Linked DNA regions of Arabidopsis thaliana. The protein of the gene in region 1 interacts with the protein of each later gene in a pairwise test. Each region holds a gene or a part of one and is shown on either strand. Other genes may lie near its edges. The genes, in order: AT1G11490, CIA2, AT4G01460 and GATA7.

What was found.
Region 2: the proteins of AT1G11490 (region 1) and CIA2 interact in a two-hybrid assay, tested with the Arabidopsis thaliana proteins (one large-scale study listed by BioGRID).
Region 3: the proteins of AT1G11490 (region 1) and AT4G01460 interact in a two-hybrid assay, tested with the Arabidopsis thaliana proteins (one large-scale study listed by BioGRID).
Region 4: the proteins of AT1G11490 (region 1) and GATA7 interact in a two-hybrid assay, tested with the Arabidopsis thaliana proteins (one large-scale study listed by BioGRID).

Annotation. Positions count from the first base shown.
Region 1 is NC_003070.9:3,868,335-3,872,275, forward strand, and holds AT1G11490 (zinc finger (C2H2 type) family protein), read right to left. Parts: upstream 2,192-3,941; 5' UTR 2,109-2,191; intron 1,975-2,108; exon of another isoform or gene 1,861-1,974; 5' UTR 1,732-1,860; coding exon 1,278-1,731; intron 1,194-1,277; coding exon 550-1,193; downstream 1-549. Other genes in the region: AT1G11500 (transmembrane protein, putative (DUF1218)), read left to right, coding at 2,484-2,597, 2,684-2,910, 3,008-3,236; AT1G11510 (DNA-binding storekeeper protein-related transcriptional regulator), read right to left, coding at 3,444-3,941.
Region 2 is NC_003076.8:23,165,820-23,171,578, reverse strand, and holds CIA2 (chloroplast import apparatus 2), read right to left. Parts: upstream 3,806-5,759; 5' UTR 3,187-3,805; coding exon 2,083-3,186; coding exon of another isoform or gene 2,056-2,082; exon of another isoform or gene 1,456-2,055; coding exon 1,303-1,455; coding exon of another isoform or gene 1,285-1,302; exon of another isoform or gene 867-1,284; coding exon 816-866; 3' UTR 554-815; downstream 1-553. Other genes in the region: PSD2 (phosphatidylserine decarboxylase 2), read left to right, coding at 1-48. UniProt on the Arabidopsis thaliana protein: Responsible for specific up-regulation of the translocon genes TOC33 and TOC75 in leaves. Involved in the general chloroplast protein import pathway regulation, including protein import and protein translation efficiencies.
Region 3 is NC_003075.7:618,958-623,534, forward strand, and holds AT4G01460 (basic helix-loop-helix (bHLH) DNA-binding superfamily protein), read left to right. Parts: upstream 1-1,733; 5' UTR 1,734-2,020; exon of another isoform or gene 2,021-2,370; 5' UTR 2,371-2,376; coding exon 2,377-2,814; intron 2,815-2,915; coding exon 2,916-3,314; intron 3,315-3,629; coding exon 3,630-3,740; 3' UTR 3,741-4,042; downstream 4,043-4,577.
Region 4 is NC_003075.7:17,146,607-17,150,403, forward strand, and holds GATA7 (GATA transcription factor 7), read right to left. Parts: upstream 1,891-3,797; 5' UTR 1,606-1,890; coding exon 1,405-1,605; intron 1,286-1,404; coding exon 770-1,285; 3' UTR 534-769; downstream 1-533. UniProt on the Arabidopsis thaliana protein: Transcriptional activator that specifically binds 5'-GATA-3' or 5'-GAT-3' motifs within gene promoters. May be involved in the regulation of some light-responsive genes.

The DNA.
Region 1 (3,941 bases):
CCTCCTTCCACCAACTCCACAGGGGCCTTCTTCTCCAAAACCCACATCGAATTATCACTACTAATTGCAATCATGAGTTTTCCCATACCCAATCCGCAAGGTTCAGCGTCGAGATGACAAGCACCCAACACTAGGGCGTCTCTGAGTATAATTGTAGTGATCTCACATCAGCAAAACATCATCAAAAAAAAAAAAAAAGAACAAAGTGTGATTGGGGAGAGAAGAGAATAGTATCTTACAAACAGAGGTTTCCGGAGGGAGAACACTGAAGGCCGGCTCAGAAGCAGAGGAGACATGAGTGTTCTTAGCGAAGAGCTAGTCAAAGAAACCCTAATTGAAGAAAATGGTAGCACTAACAGTTACAGTCTTCTTCACCCTTTAAATATAGAGGCTGGGCATAGACTTGTCCAGCAAGTTTTCCATCTTTCAATTTTGGGGAAAGCCCAACATTTTTAACCTATTACAGGCCCACCAAATTTTGCAAGAAAAAAGAAGATGAGAAAACTATACAAAAACCTAAAGAATAAATTTTGCATATACGGGCTTGTTTCATGGCTTGAAGATTATCACAAAGCAAGGTAACAAAGCTTTTGTACTCAACAGGTAAAGCTCTTCAATTCTTGAATTTTGTCCAACTTTCAAAGCTAGTGAATCAAACTCAGAAAACCCTAAAGAATTTTCAAACGTCTGCATAGGTTTATGAACCCTCCCTGCAATCACTCTACATAGCACAACAGCTATCAATGAACCTCTATTTCTTCCTTGATCGGTTTCGATAGATTCAAGAGCTGTAGAGCTAGTTGATGCTGTGAGAACTCCTTTTATCCCATCTGGTCTTGTTTTAGGACTGAAACCATGTCTTAGAATATGACAAACTTCACAGTGATCCGAGAAACAGAGGTTTGAAGAGCTGTTACTGAAACCGAGAGTGCAAGAAAGAGTTGTACCGTGGAACCCAAGAAACTCGTTGCCATCAGCCATACAACGAGAGTGCTTCTTTGAAAGCTTGTTTGCTCTTATTTTCACGAGCTCTCTGTAATCTTCAAAGTCTGCAACAACTCTCTGCAAGTTCTGGATTTTAAAGATCGCTGAAATGTTGTTCCCTTTCATTTTGCCTAGCTTGTGAGAATAGCCTGTGTTGCAGATTAGTTCCACAGTTGTTCTTGAGAAATCTCCTGCTAAGAGTCTAACGACTGCAAAAAAGAAAAAACAAATCAAATTCTCCTCACAACATTGGCTAAAAGTCAATGAAAAAGTTCATCTAATTCAAGTCTTACCAGAGTGGTTAGAGAGGTAATGTGCTTCAAACGCGTCAAGATCTCTGACTCTCTCATGACATTTTTGACAAGCAAGAACTCCGAAACCGCAGATGTCAGAGCCAACAACATCAAATCTCTCTGAACAACGACCGGGAAGTAAATCAGAAGAAGATGCTCCGCTAAGCAAACCTTTGAATCTGTCTGAATAACCTGCATTCTCCTCAAATTTCACTGTGTTTACAAACCTGGAGCTCTCAAGAGACCGTGAGCTGCAGCAGCTTACATTCTGCATAGCTCCTTCATCTCCATTAGTTACAAAGACATCTCTCAGATTCGACATTGATCTTCTTGAGCATCCAGATGGATTCTCCTTCTTCTGAATTTGGATCTTGTCTGGATCACAAGCTACAGTTGACTTCTGTGCCTTGCAGCAGCTAAGAGACTTCTTGAGATAAAGCCAAACCCCACGCATGTTTGTTCAAGATCCGTCTTTGGATTCACTGGGAGAGATGTGAATTATAAAGATATTCTATGAAGATTTGGCTTTGATTCGGACACAGCTCTGTTTCTGTTTGTTCCTGCTTCACCATATCTACACAAACTGTTTCCAAAATGAGACTGAAGATTTCCATAAACGTATGATATCATGTCACACCATGAAAGAACAAACTAAAAAATCTTTTTTAGAAATAGAAAATTACAACTAAAATTTGACGTTTATGTTAAAAAAAAATGATCAAATCTTAACCCTGTATGATTCTTTTCCAATTACAACCTGGAAAATTATAATAATTTTTAGCATAATATGATTACAGAAAGAAAAAAAGATATGGGAATAATAATTTTCACCTCTCTTCACGTTCCAAAACAGAGTATAACGCCACATGCTGCCTCTATTGAGCTTTGACATTTTTAAAGTAAAAAAGTCAAACATGTGATCAACCTCTTAATTCAATATGAAATTATATCTTTGTAGTAGAATTATTTACTACTATATCCAGTTTACAAGAAAAGCATCCAAACTAATGTCATTATATAGAAAAGGAATGAAACTTTACTTACTTGGAAAGACCAAAACCGAATCTGTATTCTTTTGTCTTGCAGTGAGAGGCAAGCTTAGGAAAGTAATCTGATGCTGTTTCCTTATTATTTTCCTCTTCCTTAAACTTTCATAGAACAATTGAAATAAATACAGTAATCAAATAAAAATATAAGGTTTTTATTATGAATCAAGGAAAAATGGAAAGTGAACTTGGGTTCTTGGTTTCTGTTGTGATCATATGTGCAGACATTACAGCTACAGTCCTCGGGATCGAAGCCGAGATTGCTCAAAGCAAGGTTCTGTTTTATATTAAGAGTGAAATGTAGTTTATTTTATTTTAACTACCAATAATCTTTTCTTGTATTTGATGTTTATCCTTCAGGCACCTCATCATCATCATCAACAACATTCAAGACATTCAGGTTCTGGATGTCGAAGAAGCCCCAGCGATGGAGCATTTGCTGAGGGAGTAGCTGCAATGGTGCTTCTGTTTATTGTCCATGTCCTAGCTAATGTGCTTGGAGGCTGCACTTACATTCGCTCTAAGCAAGATTTCAAAAGAGCAACGGCGAACAAGATACTCGCTGTGGCTTTCCTTGTTCTCTCCTGGTAATGGAAAAGATAATAGGTTTTTGGATTTCATTCAAAAGACAAATTTGAATTATGTCAGCTGTTTTTGTTTTTGACATACCTTTGTTTGTCTTAGGATCTTTTTTGTTGTCAGCTACTCAACGCTAATGATAGGAACATTAGCCAACTCGAGAACGAATCGACTCTGCAGCTTGCCACATCGTTGGTTTTTTCTTATTGGAGGCATATTTTGTCTAGGACATGGAGTGGTGACTTCAGCATATTATGTTTCAGCAATTGCTGCTAAAAAAGAAGACAAAGAGAATGCGCAACAAGAAAATCTAGCAAATAGAAGCCGCGCATAACACGTCTTCTTCATCAAGATACACAAAATGTTTCATCTGTAAATAAACTTAAATTGCTTCAAAAAAGCTTCCTTCCATTTTGATAAATCCGCAATATTCCAAAATAAACTCTTTCAAGAATCAATAGAAAACTAAAATATAATATAAAAAAGCCAAGAGTTCTAAACAAAAGAGGCAGAACCAAAAAAACAAAAACCATAAATATATCTAAGCGTTTGATCCAAATGCTTCAGATATCTTTGATAGCACTTCAAAAAGAAAACCATGCTTCTGCAAAAAGAACTCAAATTCCCTAGCCTGCATCGCTTTCCACTGCTCGTAAAATCTCTTCATATCCTTTGAGGCAAGCTTACTCAATCCTTGTTGAGCAGTAAGTTCATCCATGCCAAGACCCACTATCGATCTAACAAGAGAAGACTTTGTAAAAGAGACTTCTCCTTCATCCATCACCTCATCTTCACAGTTGTTTTTACTGTTGGGCAAAGAAGAATCAAGTTCATGCTTCACAGACTCAAACTTACTACTCTTCTTCGACTTCTCATTAGATTTCATACCAGATGCAAGAGCCATTCTAATACCTCCCCAAACTAACTTAGACAATTCAAAAGCCTTGCGATCATGAGGTTTGACGAAAGTAGGTTCAACACCATCCTTGGCTTTACCAAGATTGTTCTCATACTTCTTCTTTAAAGCCCTAAGCTTTTC
Region 2 (5,759 bases), on another chromosome or scaffold:
CAATTAGGTGTCTCCACAAGGACATTTGCTAGGTCTACATTGATCTGAAAATCTTTGCCACTGAACTGATTACCAGAGACCAATTTGGTTTGATTTGATTTTCCTCTTGTTTCGTGCATAATAACTCTGTATATAAACCAAACGATATCTCTTGTATCATGTATACAAGTAATGAGCTCAACACATTCCTTGTGCAGAGAGTTCTGTTTTTGCCATTCCGTCAAGCCTTGTAAAATAACACTCGATTCTTGGTCAAAGATAAAATGGTATCTAGAAGAAGCTACCATTCAAAAATCATATAACACGTCCTAGAAGCTATTTTTGCCCTTAATTCAATATGCTTTTTCTCTATAATGTTTTTATTGGGAAAGGAAATTTGGCTCGGCAAAAACAGATATTGAGAGGTATCAATGATTTGTCACCGGTTTTGATGACTCAAAGAAGCAATGGGCAACGAAACAACAGGTGTACAAGGCTGCAACATAGTTTGAGCCATTGGGATTGGTGAATAATCCATGTCTTGTTTTTTGCTACTGTTGTTGTTGAGCCAAGTCTCTGACTTGCTTCTTGAGTCATTAAAATCTCAAGAGCTCTGTTTCTTCTATTAATAACAAAAACTTTTATTAGTTTTGATCCCTCACTTTCTCAATCAAATCTCCCCCTCATCAAAAAATCTAAATTATAAACCAAAAGGGACCATAACTTAAAAGAAACAAAAAAGGAGGGTGCCAAAATTTTAGAAACAAAAATAAAACAAGGAATAAACAAAAGATAAAAAAAAAAAGATAAGATAAATCTAGGCTCTTTTATCCTTGTTATCTTTGTCCACTTGGAGTGCTCTCATTGGGCCTTCTCACGAATCGTCCCTGTTCCCACATCCCATCACCAACCACAAAAAGAAAAGAAAACATTAATATTAGGTTCTTGTCTTAATCAAATCTAATGTATATATCCCTAGCCCTTGACCTCAATCTAACGTTATTAGTTAGTTTTGTTTCCTTTAGATGACAATTCTTAATATATTTAACCTTTGGTTTGGTTTTAAATCTTTTTGTTTGGCTTGTGGTACGTAGTTTCCTTTACTTGTTCGGTTTGGTTCATTTGGAATAAAGATACCCAAAAGAAAGCTTATTTCATCTTCTTGAAGAAAAAAAACGAATAGAAAAACTCAACAAGAGTTTTCTCATCTACTTTAAATCTGAAAACTAAAGCTAGTCTTATTATGCTGATTCAAAACAAATTTTGAAGGATGGTAAAAAAAACCTACATGTTTTTAACCACTGACTAAGATGGGTTAGATACCTTCATTCGAGGACGTTGATCAGCATTGAGTTTGCGAACTTGGTATCGAATTTTCTTCGAAAAAAGACGAGTTCGACGTTTCTCTTTGTACCTCAAAACACTTGCTTCTCGCATTCCACTGTCTCCGAACAAATCAATCTGAGCTAATCTAGCCTGCCCCAAAACACACACGCCACATTAGTTCATGTTCAACATTATTAATAACACAAAATACTAATCAATTGACAAAAATGAATTTCTAGTTAACTTATTTTGTAGACTACTAGACTTTATGCTAAAAGGAGTATTCGACGAAACGGATATCTACAAAATAAATTTTGAACCTCCTCATTTATCCTATACGTGAAAATTCACGTGCACAGTCTATAAAGTTTTCATTGGACAAATAAAAAGCAGCTTTTTTTTTTCTTAATTGATTGAAAGTCATCACAGAAAAAAATGTTATTTATAATAAAAAGAAGACTATGTACCAAAGTCAAAGGGTTAATAATTATTCTTCAAAATACGTTACAGGAAAAATTATTAATAAGAACTTTCCACAAAATTTAATAAATTCTTGTCAGATACTTCAAACTATATCATAGCTAATAAATTACTAATTCAGCATTAATGAGAACACACTCCTCAACAGCCACGTGGCAGAATACTAATGGCCAAAACAGAATCCCGAATAATTAATTATTTCAAACTAACCATTAACTAAAGAAAAATAAACATAGAAAATATCGAATTTTAACGGCGAGGGATTTGAGATTAAGAAGAGATTAGTGTTAAACATACATTGACATCGACAGCTTCCGATCCCTGAATCTCGTCGGGAAACGGCGACGTTTTATCAGACCAAGCTTCCAAAACGCCGTCGTAATCAAGCTTCAACAACGGACCTGTTCTCTTCAAACTCGTCTCCTCCGTATCTTCCAAGCTTTTCGATTCCGTAATCAATGTCGTCGTCACCGTCATTTTCTTCTTCTTCTTCTTCTTATTACTCTTCTCTCCAGAGATTACCACCTTCTTACCGTCGGATTTCTCCTCATCAACGGTGGAGATTGCAGTTTCGGTTTTGACAGTTTGAATTCGCGGCGAGATCTGTTCGAAATCAACGGTATGAATCTTCCACAATTTTGTGTCGTCGTTTTCTCTGAGAGCACTTCGTAATCCAAGCCCTAACGGGAAATTGAATCCGTTAGAGCTTCGATTCCATGAATTGATCATCATCATCTGTTCTAGTTTACCAATCCGATTAGAAGAACTTCTTCCACCGCGATTGATCATTCCCGGAACCCTAGATTCATAAATCCCCGAATTTGAATTCGATTCCACCACAGTCCCCATTATACTATCGATTCCTTCTTCAATATCCTCATCGAGAATCGATTCAGCATCGAATTCGTCGGAGAAATCAAACTTTTCGATTTCACCACCGTAGCAATCTCCACCGGAGTTAACTTCCTTCTGGTCTGAGAAAAACTCTGTTTTCGTTTGAATCGTTGGATGAAACAGAAAATCAGGTTCTTCGATTGATTCATAAGGAAGAAGCAAATCAGAAGCGTCGTCGTTGTCACTAAGCAATGGCCCGTAGAAGTGAGAGTTTGATGAAGAGTGAGTTTTTTGCTTAGAGGACAAGTTTGAGGAGAAGATGTTGGGATAAGCAGTAGAGAGAAGAGTAGCTGCTTCGTTGTAAGTCTGGTTTGGTCTTTTGCGTTGTGTTCTTGGCTTTCTCGTTGAGATTGCGAGTGGTGAATTTGATGATTCGGAGATTGTTGATGATGGTGAAGTAGCTCTTGTTGTTGTTGTTGAGGATGATGGTGGTGGTGATTTCACTTTTTCTAACTCGAAACTATATGCTGCTGCTCCTCCTCCTCCGCTGCTTAAACACGCCGACATTTTTTTTGTCCGGTGAAATCGGAAAAGAAACAAGACCAAAACTTTGAAGATTGTAAGAACTTTTGTGAGTGAGAAGAGAGTGATGAAATTAAGATTTTTGCCTTTTGATTAAAGAATTGTGTTTAATTTTAAGATAATAATAAACCCTTAAAACCCACTGAAGAAACCTTTTTTTATTTGGTGAGAAAATACAAAATTGAAGGGGGAAAAAAAGATCAAAACTTTAGGGAAAGAGGAAGATTCTGCTAACAAATGTTCATCATTTGAAAGAAAGAGCTAAGAAAACCCATTTGGAATCTGAGATTTATGTGTATGAAAACCAAAAGAATTGGCCAACGAGTGAGGTTTTACAGAAAGAAGCTAATTGGTTTGTGAAGAGGGAGAGAGAGATTGGAGGAGAAAGAAGAGTCACGAGATATATAAGAGGAGAAAGATTAGGGTTTTAGTGAGAGCTTAGTAACAAACAAAGGAGAGTTTAGTAAATAAATAGTGAAGAGCGTTTTTTTTTTTTTTGGTTTAGGGGTAATTTTAACTTTGAGAAGAGAAGTTGTGGAGAAACAGAGAGAGTGGTGGGAAGAAGAAGACGAGAGAGAGAGAGAGAGAGTGAGCGAATGGTGAAGAAGGGACAAGATAGCTCGTAATCGGCAATTCTGGAATGAATGGGGTCCACCAGTGGATTTTTTCACTTTTTGTATTGATTTAAAATTACTTTGTAAAACGAGTTTTCTTATGGATAGAGATACTTCCACGACTAAAGATTTCTATTCCATTTCAGAAATAGCCATTCAAAAGGTTTATAAGGTAAATTTTGTTACTGAAAACTCTTGGCTAATCTACAATGACTGGTGTTTGAATCAAAGTAAATTTCTCTATTTATTTTTTTGTTATAATGTTAATTAAGAAAAAAAGCTTTAAACAATGTTTGAGAGTTATTGAGAAATGATTTGGAGATTGAAAACAAAATAATGAAAAATCAATTGTTAAACCTATAATAAAGCGATATGATTGTGGCAACGATCGGTCATAATACGATTGAATTAAATTTGTTATGTGTTGATTTAACAAATTTATTTGTTCATTAACATTTACTCAAAATATAAAATATTAATTTTGTGACGATTTGGTAATAATGTAATGTAGCGACGATCGTTCATTCTTAAAGTTAAATTTTTATGTATTACATTAATATAACGACAGTAAGTCATTAATTCAAATTGAGTAAATCTTTTATGTATTGATTTATTGATATTATCCACTTGTTACACAATAATTTTTACCCAAAAATTTAAGATATTATTTTGCATATCGATCTTGTGGTGAGTAAGTAATATAACAGCGATCAGTCATTAATTTGAAAGGGGGATAAATATTTTGAGTGTGATTTATCGAAATTACTCATGATTGAAAAATATTAATCACATCATCGATTAAGTGGTAAGTAATGATGTAGCGCCGATCAATTGTCTAATCCAGCCTGTGGCAGTATTATATTAGTTGAGGTTGAGGATTTTTCTTCTTAGTTGATACCAAAAATCGAGTTCTACCATTCACAATATTTAATTTCAGCTCTTTAAACTAGTATAGAGTTAAACAAATTTATCCACTATTAGTTTTAGTTTCAATTTAGAGTCACCATATATTAGTTTAATTTTTGTTTCTATTAATTGCAGGTCCGGCTCTACACATGTGCCGGAGGAGCGAGGCACAGAGTCAACCCAAAATTTCTCTTTTTTTTGAAGTAAATCTAATACAATTACGATCCAAAAAAAAGATTTACATAACAAAACATAGGAAATGAGAACTAATTTTTTTTTCAGCTCTGGGTCCTTTATTATTTTGAGCCGACCCTGATTAATTGTAGCTAGAAGTGAAGCCATATATTGGTTTATATTTTAGTTTATGATATCTAGATTTTAAATAGAATTCGAAGTTATATTTTTTTACAGGTTTTGTAGAAGATTTTATTTAAAATTTGATATATATTTTTGATAATAGTAATAGTTTTAATAAGATTTCTCAGTTTTAATTTATTGATTTGGTTGTGATATCCGATTTCTGTTCTTCTTGAATAAAGTTTAACCAAGAAAAGATGCTCAAGAGTTTAATCCAGGTTGTTTAGTGAGTAATAGTCATTAATGATCCTTTTTGACTGGAGGGAAATGTGATTCTGTTTTTGGATTATTTTCTAAAAAGATGTAAAAACCACATCATCATCATCCAAATCTGCAAAATCTTTTTGGGATCTTAAAGAGAAAACGAGGAAAGGTCACCTTATCCATTGACGTGGCACATACCCATTGGCTCTACTAGATTTCTTTGATGACGTGGTGCTTTCTCAATTAACTGATTATGGTCGCCTGGTCGGAGACGTTTTCACGTGTTCTTAAAAAACCGACTTTATTATTTTACTAATTTCCCTTTATTAGTAAGATTTTTTTTTTTTTTCAAATTTACTAATTTAGCATATTTGGGAAAAAAATATTAGCATAAATTGATACTTTCTTATCTATATTTTAGATAATTTTTTGGATATATATATAGACATGATAATTGAAAATTTATTTCTTTCATTG
Region 3 (4,577 bases), on another chromosome or scaffold:
TTTTTTCTTAAACAAACTAGTACCGTATCTTCGGTTATATGGATGGTACATAGAACTATAAATTGTAAAATCATATTCTACATACTTACTTTGACGATAAATAAGTGCTATTTCGGGTCTAATGTTACACGTAGGGAACTACCTAAGAAAATGTGGTTCGCGTGTCTAATGCAAACTGATTTCCATTCGAACCTATAATGGCTGAAGAAATAGCTATCCACATATGATATGTTGATAATGATATATATTATAGATATTCTTGTGTTTAGCTAAGTAATATATAAAAATTTACTCCACTTTTTTCTCAATTGGTATGTGACATGCTCTTATTGGGTGGATAATGTACTAGACAAAACTTGTAATTTTTTTTTTCTTTATCTATAATAATATAAAAACATTTTGTGTGTTATATTTTCATACATCTATTTTCCTTTCTTCATAATTCGTTTGGCCTATTTTTCAAATGTAGTCTATTCAATTTTATTAGGTTGCATGTGAGTTTTGGACTCACTTATGCATGGTACAAAATCCAAGTTCTTAAAAGACTTTGAGGTAGAATAAAAATCTGTAGTTTGGGAGAAGGAAACAAAAATAAAAAGGTAAATTTCTTTTGGGGGAGAGTACTGTTGTTTGCCCTACAGACCAAGGCACTGAAATCGAGTTGGTATTATTAGGATACTTAACGTTTGGCACCCATGGCCTTGGCCTTGGCCATGTGCATTGTTCGTCCTCTTCTTAAAGGGTACTATTGTCATTCTTAATTTTTATAGCACTAAGTCAACACACCATATTGGGAAATACTTAAAGACCCATAATGTACTTGTTCTAGCTCGATTAAAAGAGAAAAAACAAAGTAAATGAAAAGTTGAAGTAAAAGACATGAAAACCCTTTTTGGATTGGAGAAAACTAATTCTCTAAAGATAGAAAAGAAAAAGAGGAAGAAGCAAGAGAGGCTTGGTCTTCTTTTCTGATCCTGAAACTGTCTTAATAAGAGTGAGAAGTACTGTTCATGGAAGACGTGTCCCCACCAAACAAAACTGTCTTCACTGCCCTCTTCAATAATACTTTTACGGGACCCCTCCTAGTCCCAACGCACAATCTCATTGTGTCTATACAGAGTTATATTATATATATACACTTAATTTCTAATAGTTGTAGCAAAACATATGGTAAGAAAATGAAATAAATACGGTTAATATATTATTATTTTTTGGTCAAAACGGTTAATATATATGTAACACCAATGAAGCCAACATATCCAAACACAGAAGAAGATTTTTGGATGATGATTTAAACATGTATATATGTTAGTGTGAATCTTCAAAGTTTCTGTTTAAGTAGAATTATTTTTATAGATAAAGTATTTTATATGTTTTTTGGTCGAGCCAAATATCGAATTCCTTCATCAAAGTCTATCGAATTCCTTATATTTACCAAAGTAAAATTCGTTAAGAACAAAAATCAAAGAGTATTGTCCCGAAAGAAAATTATTTTGAAGGCCCAAAGAGGACAAGGTCATAAATATTTGATCTGGAGGACAGGACACCCACGTATATTTTTGTCCAAAATTTAGGTTAAAAAAAGAAGAAGAAAGGTTATCTGTTTCACGGATTAAATATTTAATTAATAATACATACATATATTACTGTATGTGTGCGTGTAAAATACTAAATATCGACGACTATATATATAACTAGATAATTTAGCTATAGTATAGTATTTTTATTTTTCACCCTTGGTTTTTTTATACATATATGCACCGAACCTCTTCTTCTTCTCTTCCTCGTCTTCTCTCCTTTTATATATGTGGAAAACTGCATTTATTAAGAACAGTTTAGAAAGTGTCAACCCCTAAAGGAATGTTTTTAGTTTAGAGGAAAGAGAGAGAAGAAGAAGCAGCAGCAGAAGTTGTTAATTTGAAGACTATTTGAGGAAAGACACCTATATCTAAATACTCAAAGTTACAAAAATATTACTTCAGAAAACAGTTCCATTAGAGAGACTCATAAAGCTTCTCATGTAAGCCTCTCTTGTAATTTATTCTCATATACAGAATACTGTTTTGTGCATTTACTCTTCTTCTTCCTCCTCCTTTCATATGATTAACATTCAATGCAAAATTCTTGTAAATTCATTTTACAATAGCTTATCCAAATTCTGCTACTTTTATTATTGTTTCCTCTCGCTGCGACATTCTTTATTTCTCATCATTTAATGTTCTCTCCTCGTACATCCTCTTTGTTCTGTCTTAAGAATTCACCTACCAAACCATTTATTTCTCATACCCACTTTAAGATTTAGTAGATTTTTGTTTTCTTGTCAAAATGGTATCCTAAAACTAATCTCTCTTGTTTTTTTCTTTGTTGAAGCTAATTATGAGTGGATTGATGAGTTTTGGTGAATTAGAAGACCAATTTGGTCAGATTTCAGACACTACTATGGAAGAGAAGATACCATTTCTGCAAATGCTTCAATGCATAGAACACCCTTTTACAACAACAGAACCAAATCAGTTTCTCCAATCACTTCTCCAGATCCAAACCCTAGAATCAAAGAGCTGTCTCACCCTTGAAACAAACATCAAAAGAGATCCGGGTCAAACAGATGACCCGGAAAAGGATCCAAGAACAGAAAACGGAGCAGTAACGGTCAAAGAAAAAAGAAAACGGAAACGTACAAGAGCTCCAAAGAACAAAGACGAAGTTGAAAACCAAAGGATGACTCACATTGCCGTCGAACGTAATCGAAGACGACAAATGAACGAACACTTAAACTCTCTCCGATCTCTCATGCCTCCTTCGTTTCTTCAACGGGTAACAAAATGTTTTAAGGGTTCATTAAACAAGAACGTAATTTTTTTTTCTTTTCAAGAACGTAATTTAGCTTTAACAAGAAAACGTTTTTGTTTCTCTAGGGTGACCAAGCTTCGATTGTAGGAGGGGCAATAGATTTCATCAAGGAACTAGAGCAACTCTTGCAATCTCTAGAAGCTGAGAAACGAAAGGATGGAACTGATGAAACTCCTAAAACGGCGTCGTGTTCTTCATCTTCGTCTCTTGCATGCACTAACTCTTCTATTTCTAGCGTGTCTACGACGTCGGAAAATGGATTTACGGCGAGATTCGGCGGTGGAGATACGACAGAAGTGGAGGCTACGGTGATACAGAACCATGTGAGCTTAAAAGTTCGGTGTAAGAGAGGAAAACGACAGATCTTAAAAGCTATTGTCTCGATTGAAGAACTAAAGCTTGCGATTCTACATCTCACTATCTCTTCTTCCTTTGACTTTGTCATCTACTCTTTCAATCTCAAGGTAATTTTCTTAATCATCTCTTAAACTATCAGTTTCAATTTCCACTAGTTTAAGCATTATTATAAATAGTCTTATGTAACTAGCAATTTTTGACTTTTTGAGGAAAATTAAGGAATCTTCATTTTGAAATGTTTGGTACTTAAGAAAATTAAAATGCATGAGAAACCATAATAGAAAATATCTACAATTATGTGTGTGTGTGTGTATTTTTTTCCTTCACTCTAAGCTTAGAAAATTTTAGTTTAATTTTTTAGTAAGTTGCTAATTTTTGTTTAGTTTTGGAGAGATGAGAAATGAATGGTGTTGTGCATGCAGATGGAAGATGGTTGTAAATTAGGATCAGCAGATGAGATAGCGACAGCCGTTCATCAGATCTTCGAGCAAATCAACGGTGAAGTCATGTGGTCAAATCTTAGTCGAACTTAGTTGACTTTTGACTCCTAGTAACGTGTGTAAACTTTAGGTTACAAAGAAAAGGGACGTGATATAAATAAGAAAAACCAAAGAGGTGAAATTTTGGGAGTTTTAATTATTATCTTATACTTTTTGGATTTTAGATTAGTAGCAAACTCGCAGTGTTCTACGATGACATTATTATTGGTCACATGAAGGTTTAGGTTATTATTGCCTGTAATTTTTGAATATAAACTAACCTATGAGTTCAGTTTGACCCCGAAAACGAAAAAAGTTAACCATGAGTAATATTTACTTCCATTTATAAATGTTTCCCACTTAGTAATAATGTTAAGAAATTGACTTTAGACGTCCGTATTAGAATGGTTACGGAAATGGAAACAAATACAATTAAAGATGAAACATCATTATTACTAAGAAGAAGTCGCCTTCACACTTCGCAACCTCTTTTTATATTTTGCATATACGTTTTATTAATACTCTCATATCGTCCATGCGTCTGACAAATCTACGCTTGATAAAAAAGGTACAGCTACAACATAAATTTAAAGGTATTCTTTTGCATCAACGTCTACTGACTAAAAATACTTGTTTATTGTATAATGACTCTAGTTTTACTTTTAACAACGAAGAGAAAGGTGGCAGAATTTTTTTAATATTCCAATGGTAAAAAAGCATCGTAAAAGGAAGCCTATGGTCAGAGTCTCATTGACACATCGGTCTCGCTTGTAATACGTAAAACTCAGCCTATCTCACTCACATTACTTTTTTCGAAATTTTAATTCATATATCGGTTTCCGCATATATTTAACTTTTGTATTCAAAGCTTATTAAAAAATCGGGAAAAAT
Region 4 (3,797 bases), on another chromosome or scaffold:
CTTTATGTGAGGGTTTGCTTTAGTATTTTACATGTACAAAAAAAATAAAAAAAATGGAGTCACCAATATTTGTGTATGCAAACAGAAAGTATACCAGTTTGTATTCTTAAATATATAAACACTGTGTCAACTATCAATGATACAATAACATAATTTAGAAAATAACCAATGCATTGGTATTTGTAGCCGCACAAGTATTAGATCGATATGGATTGATTTTCAGTTTTTTTAACATAAGAGTGTGAATGAGGGGCTCGTACGTCGTAAATTTTTAGGGTTGTGTAATTGAAAAATTAAATTGATTTTTGGTCAAATTTTATCTTTTATCTTGTCTCAATGTTAACAACTTCTATACTGGTTTAATAAAAATATACAAAATTCTACTTTAACTTTAAGGGGCAACGACGATATTTTGAAAAAACAGTTATAAAGGCAAAATTTCAAAATAACGTTTTAACAACTTTTTTTTTTTTTGCATTAGCAGTTTTTTAAAAAAACTCTAAATGAAAAGAGTGTGAGCTAAGAGGAAGTAACAGTAGTTAATTATGGTTGTGGTCACAAAAATTTGGGTAACGGTTGGACTGTATTTAACAAAACTTTTAATGATCATGATTTCTAATCATGCATACTCTATCAAATAAAATTGTCTCTAATTATAGCTTAACTTCATGAATGTGAAAACAGTCTACGGATCTCTCTCTGATTCTCTGTTTACAAGATTACACAATGCACATGGCATTGATAAAATTTCAAGATAGAAAAAAATGGCTTAAACCCGAGCCGGATCCGCCACTTTCATGAGCCGTAGCTCCAACACTTTCCGGTGAGAGTTAGAGTGAATCTCGTTGGTGAATGTTGGGCTACAAGCGGGTCTATATTCGGGTAAAAGTCGACCCGACTTAAACCGGACCCCACAAGCATTACACAGTGTCTTCGCACCTAATGGACCCATTCTCCATTGAGGCGTCTTCTGGACTCCACAATGGCTGCAGCACCGCCTCAGCTGCTGCTGCTGGACTACGCCACCGTACGATGCATCCACCTTCTGTCTCCCTCTCTTCTTCCTTCTGGCAACAGCGGTGGATAGCAGAGGAGATGGAGACTCCATAGACCAGATACGGCCGTTGGTGCGGCGGCGTTTGCTTCTAGGTTTAACAGGAACGCACTGTCTCCGAACCTCCACCGACGCGACTGGATTCACCGGGAAATCACTCGAAATATACGATTCTGAGAAAGAATCCTCCACGAAGTTGGATAACCACTCTAAGTCCTCCAAATCACCAACCTTCACAAACAAAACAAAAATGAGATTAAAAACAGAGCAAAACAGAGCAAAAACAGGGTAGAGAGAAACAGAGTGTACAAAACAGGGGAGATAGAAACAGAGTGTGTAAGTGGGCTCACCGGAGCGTCGCCGGGAAAAGATAAGAGATCCTCTGGCGGTGAAAGACGGGTACTTTGGTCAGAAAAGCTCTTAAATTTCTCACGTTCTTGTTCGTCTTCTTTTCTTTGTGACGAAGACGACTCTAAAGAAGTGTCGGCGTTAGAGAGGTCGAGAAGATCGTCGACGGAAAAATCACCGAGAAATGCTTCTACACACTCCATTTTTGTCTCTAGCCGTATGAAAGCACTACAAGTATTTTAAATAAAGGAGGAGCGAAGCGAATCCATATTTGAAAAAGTTTGTTCGTGTTCCAATATATTTTACACAAATTTCATTCTTTCTTTTTCAAAATTTTAAATTCTTTACGTGTCTATCGAGTGAGAGAGACAGTGGAGAGTGGACAGCACTGATTGGGGTTTGTAAGCAAGAGTGGGTTTTAGGTTTTTGTGATTTTGGAAGACTTGTTTGGTATTTGTCTCGTTACAAATCTCGTAACAAATCATGCATTGCCATGTCAGCATTTCACATTGAAAAGGAAACCAAAAATACGTTTCCTTCGTAAGTAAAATGTTTTTTTTTTTTTTTTTTAAATGTTATCTGAACTTATCCGTAGAATTTTATTTAAAGATAACCGCTCTTTGTAGTCAATTCAATTTATTAGAGTTCTTAATGCCAAATTTTAAGTTCATAATATTAAAAGACAGCAAAGATTTCTTCATAATTTAGAACTATCATTTTTGACTTAACCATCGGCGCAGAGTTTGCAAGTCTTTTTAAGTTCTTTTACTATCAAAATAACTGAATAAAGTCATTCAGAACTAGTGGTATTCTAACGATCTAATGGCTCAACCTAATTAATCATGACCGTTGAAAGTGTTGTTGGGCCAAAAATATCGTCGGTTAATACAACTTTCCCTCTATATAAAGCTAGTTTCTTGCAAAATATGGTTTTTTTTTGTTAACATAAAAAAGAAACTAGTAGCACATATATATATATATATATATATATATATTTTTTTTTTTTTTTGTTGTATCAGTATTTCGAAGGTTTTACAGAAAAGAAGAAAAAAATTAACAATAATTCATACGTCGAGAGTAATGATTGGACTATCAGGCTTCTCGGGCCCACTCGACCGTCGGTGGAAGGCCCAATTTTACCAAAACAAACAAAAACGTTATTAGTAAGGGCCTATTATTTATTTCTTCTTTAATTTCAAGGAAAGAGTGACCATCATATGTTGAGCGCGTGAAAATATCGCTCATGGTTATATATTTGTTTTTTCTTTGAGATAATAATTTCCATTAGAAAAAGTCGGTTTCAAAGTTAGAAAAAAAACATCTAAACATTCACGTAAAGTTTACCAGGAGCAATGGAGCATAAACATATTCAAATTACACACATACCTAAATAGTAAATAATAATAAAATACATAGACTTGTATTTTTATTATAAATATAATGAACTACATTCCAAACAATTGGGTGTTTGGTCTAGTGGTATGATTCTCGCTTCGGGTGCGAGAGGTCCCGAGTTCGATTCTCGGAACACCCCTCTTTAAATTCTCTACTGCTACATCAATTTTTTTCCCCTCGGATTAAATTAACGCAAGAAAGTCGTAGACTGATGACATACAATATGGTGGTGGCTCACTAAACTGACTATATGCCTAATTAGCCCGATGGGCCACATGGGCTCAATGCAAGTCGGTAAAAGGTGGAATGTTATTGAATGCGATGTATGTTGGCAGAGGAGTAACCGTACAAATTAGACTATTTTATACCCATGAAATCATTATCGTTCGATAACATAAGATAGTAAACTTTCATGATCTCGTTCTCTATGCATCCATCTCTCATCTGTGTAGTGTAGCTTTTTTTTTCTTTTTTCCCCACAGTATTTATCTCGTAAACTATACTTTCATATAGTCATATATGTGATATGAACATTGACACTGTACGTAACTTATATGATGATTAAGTTTACATGAAAACCATTCAAGTTTTTTTAAAAGCGTAAATACAAAATTACTTCATGAAATTTACGTTTATAATTTAAAATGAACTTCGATTTAAGTTATTTGCATTCAGAGAAAATAGAAATTAATTAAATGTAGCAACGATGTAAGTGATAGCCATAAAAATATCACATTCTTTGTATATCGGAAATTTGGTTGAGCTTTTAAGTCTTGAACCCTCGGATAAAAAAAAATGTACACTTGAAACCAATATAGCATTGCTCCATAAATATCAATATCTTAGACCCAAAAAACGATATTGTTATTCCATATCGGATTTTAGTCATTTCGACTATTTTCCCAACTATTTTTCCTACTGAAAGATTAATTACAGATCTACTATTGGCCCCAACATTTGGTTCACTAGACAACCTGTAATAATATAGTTCAAGTAGTAC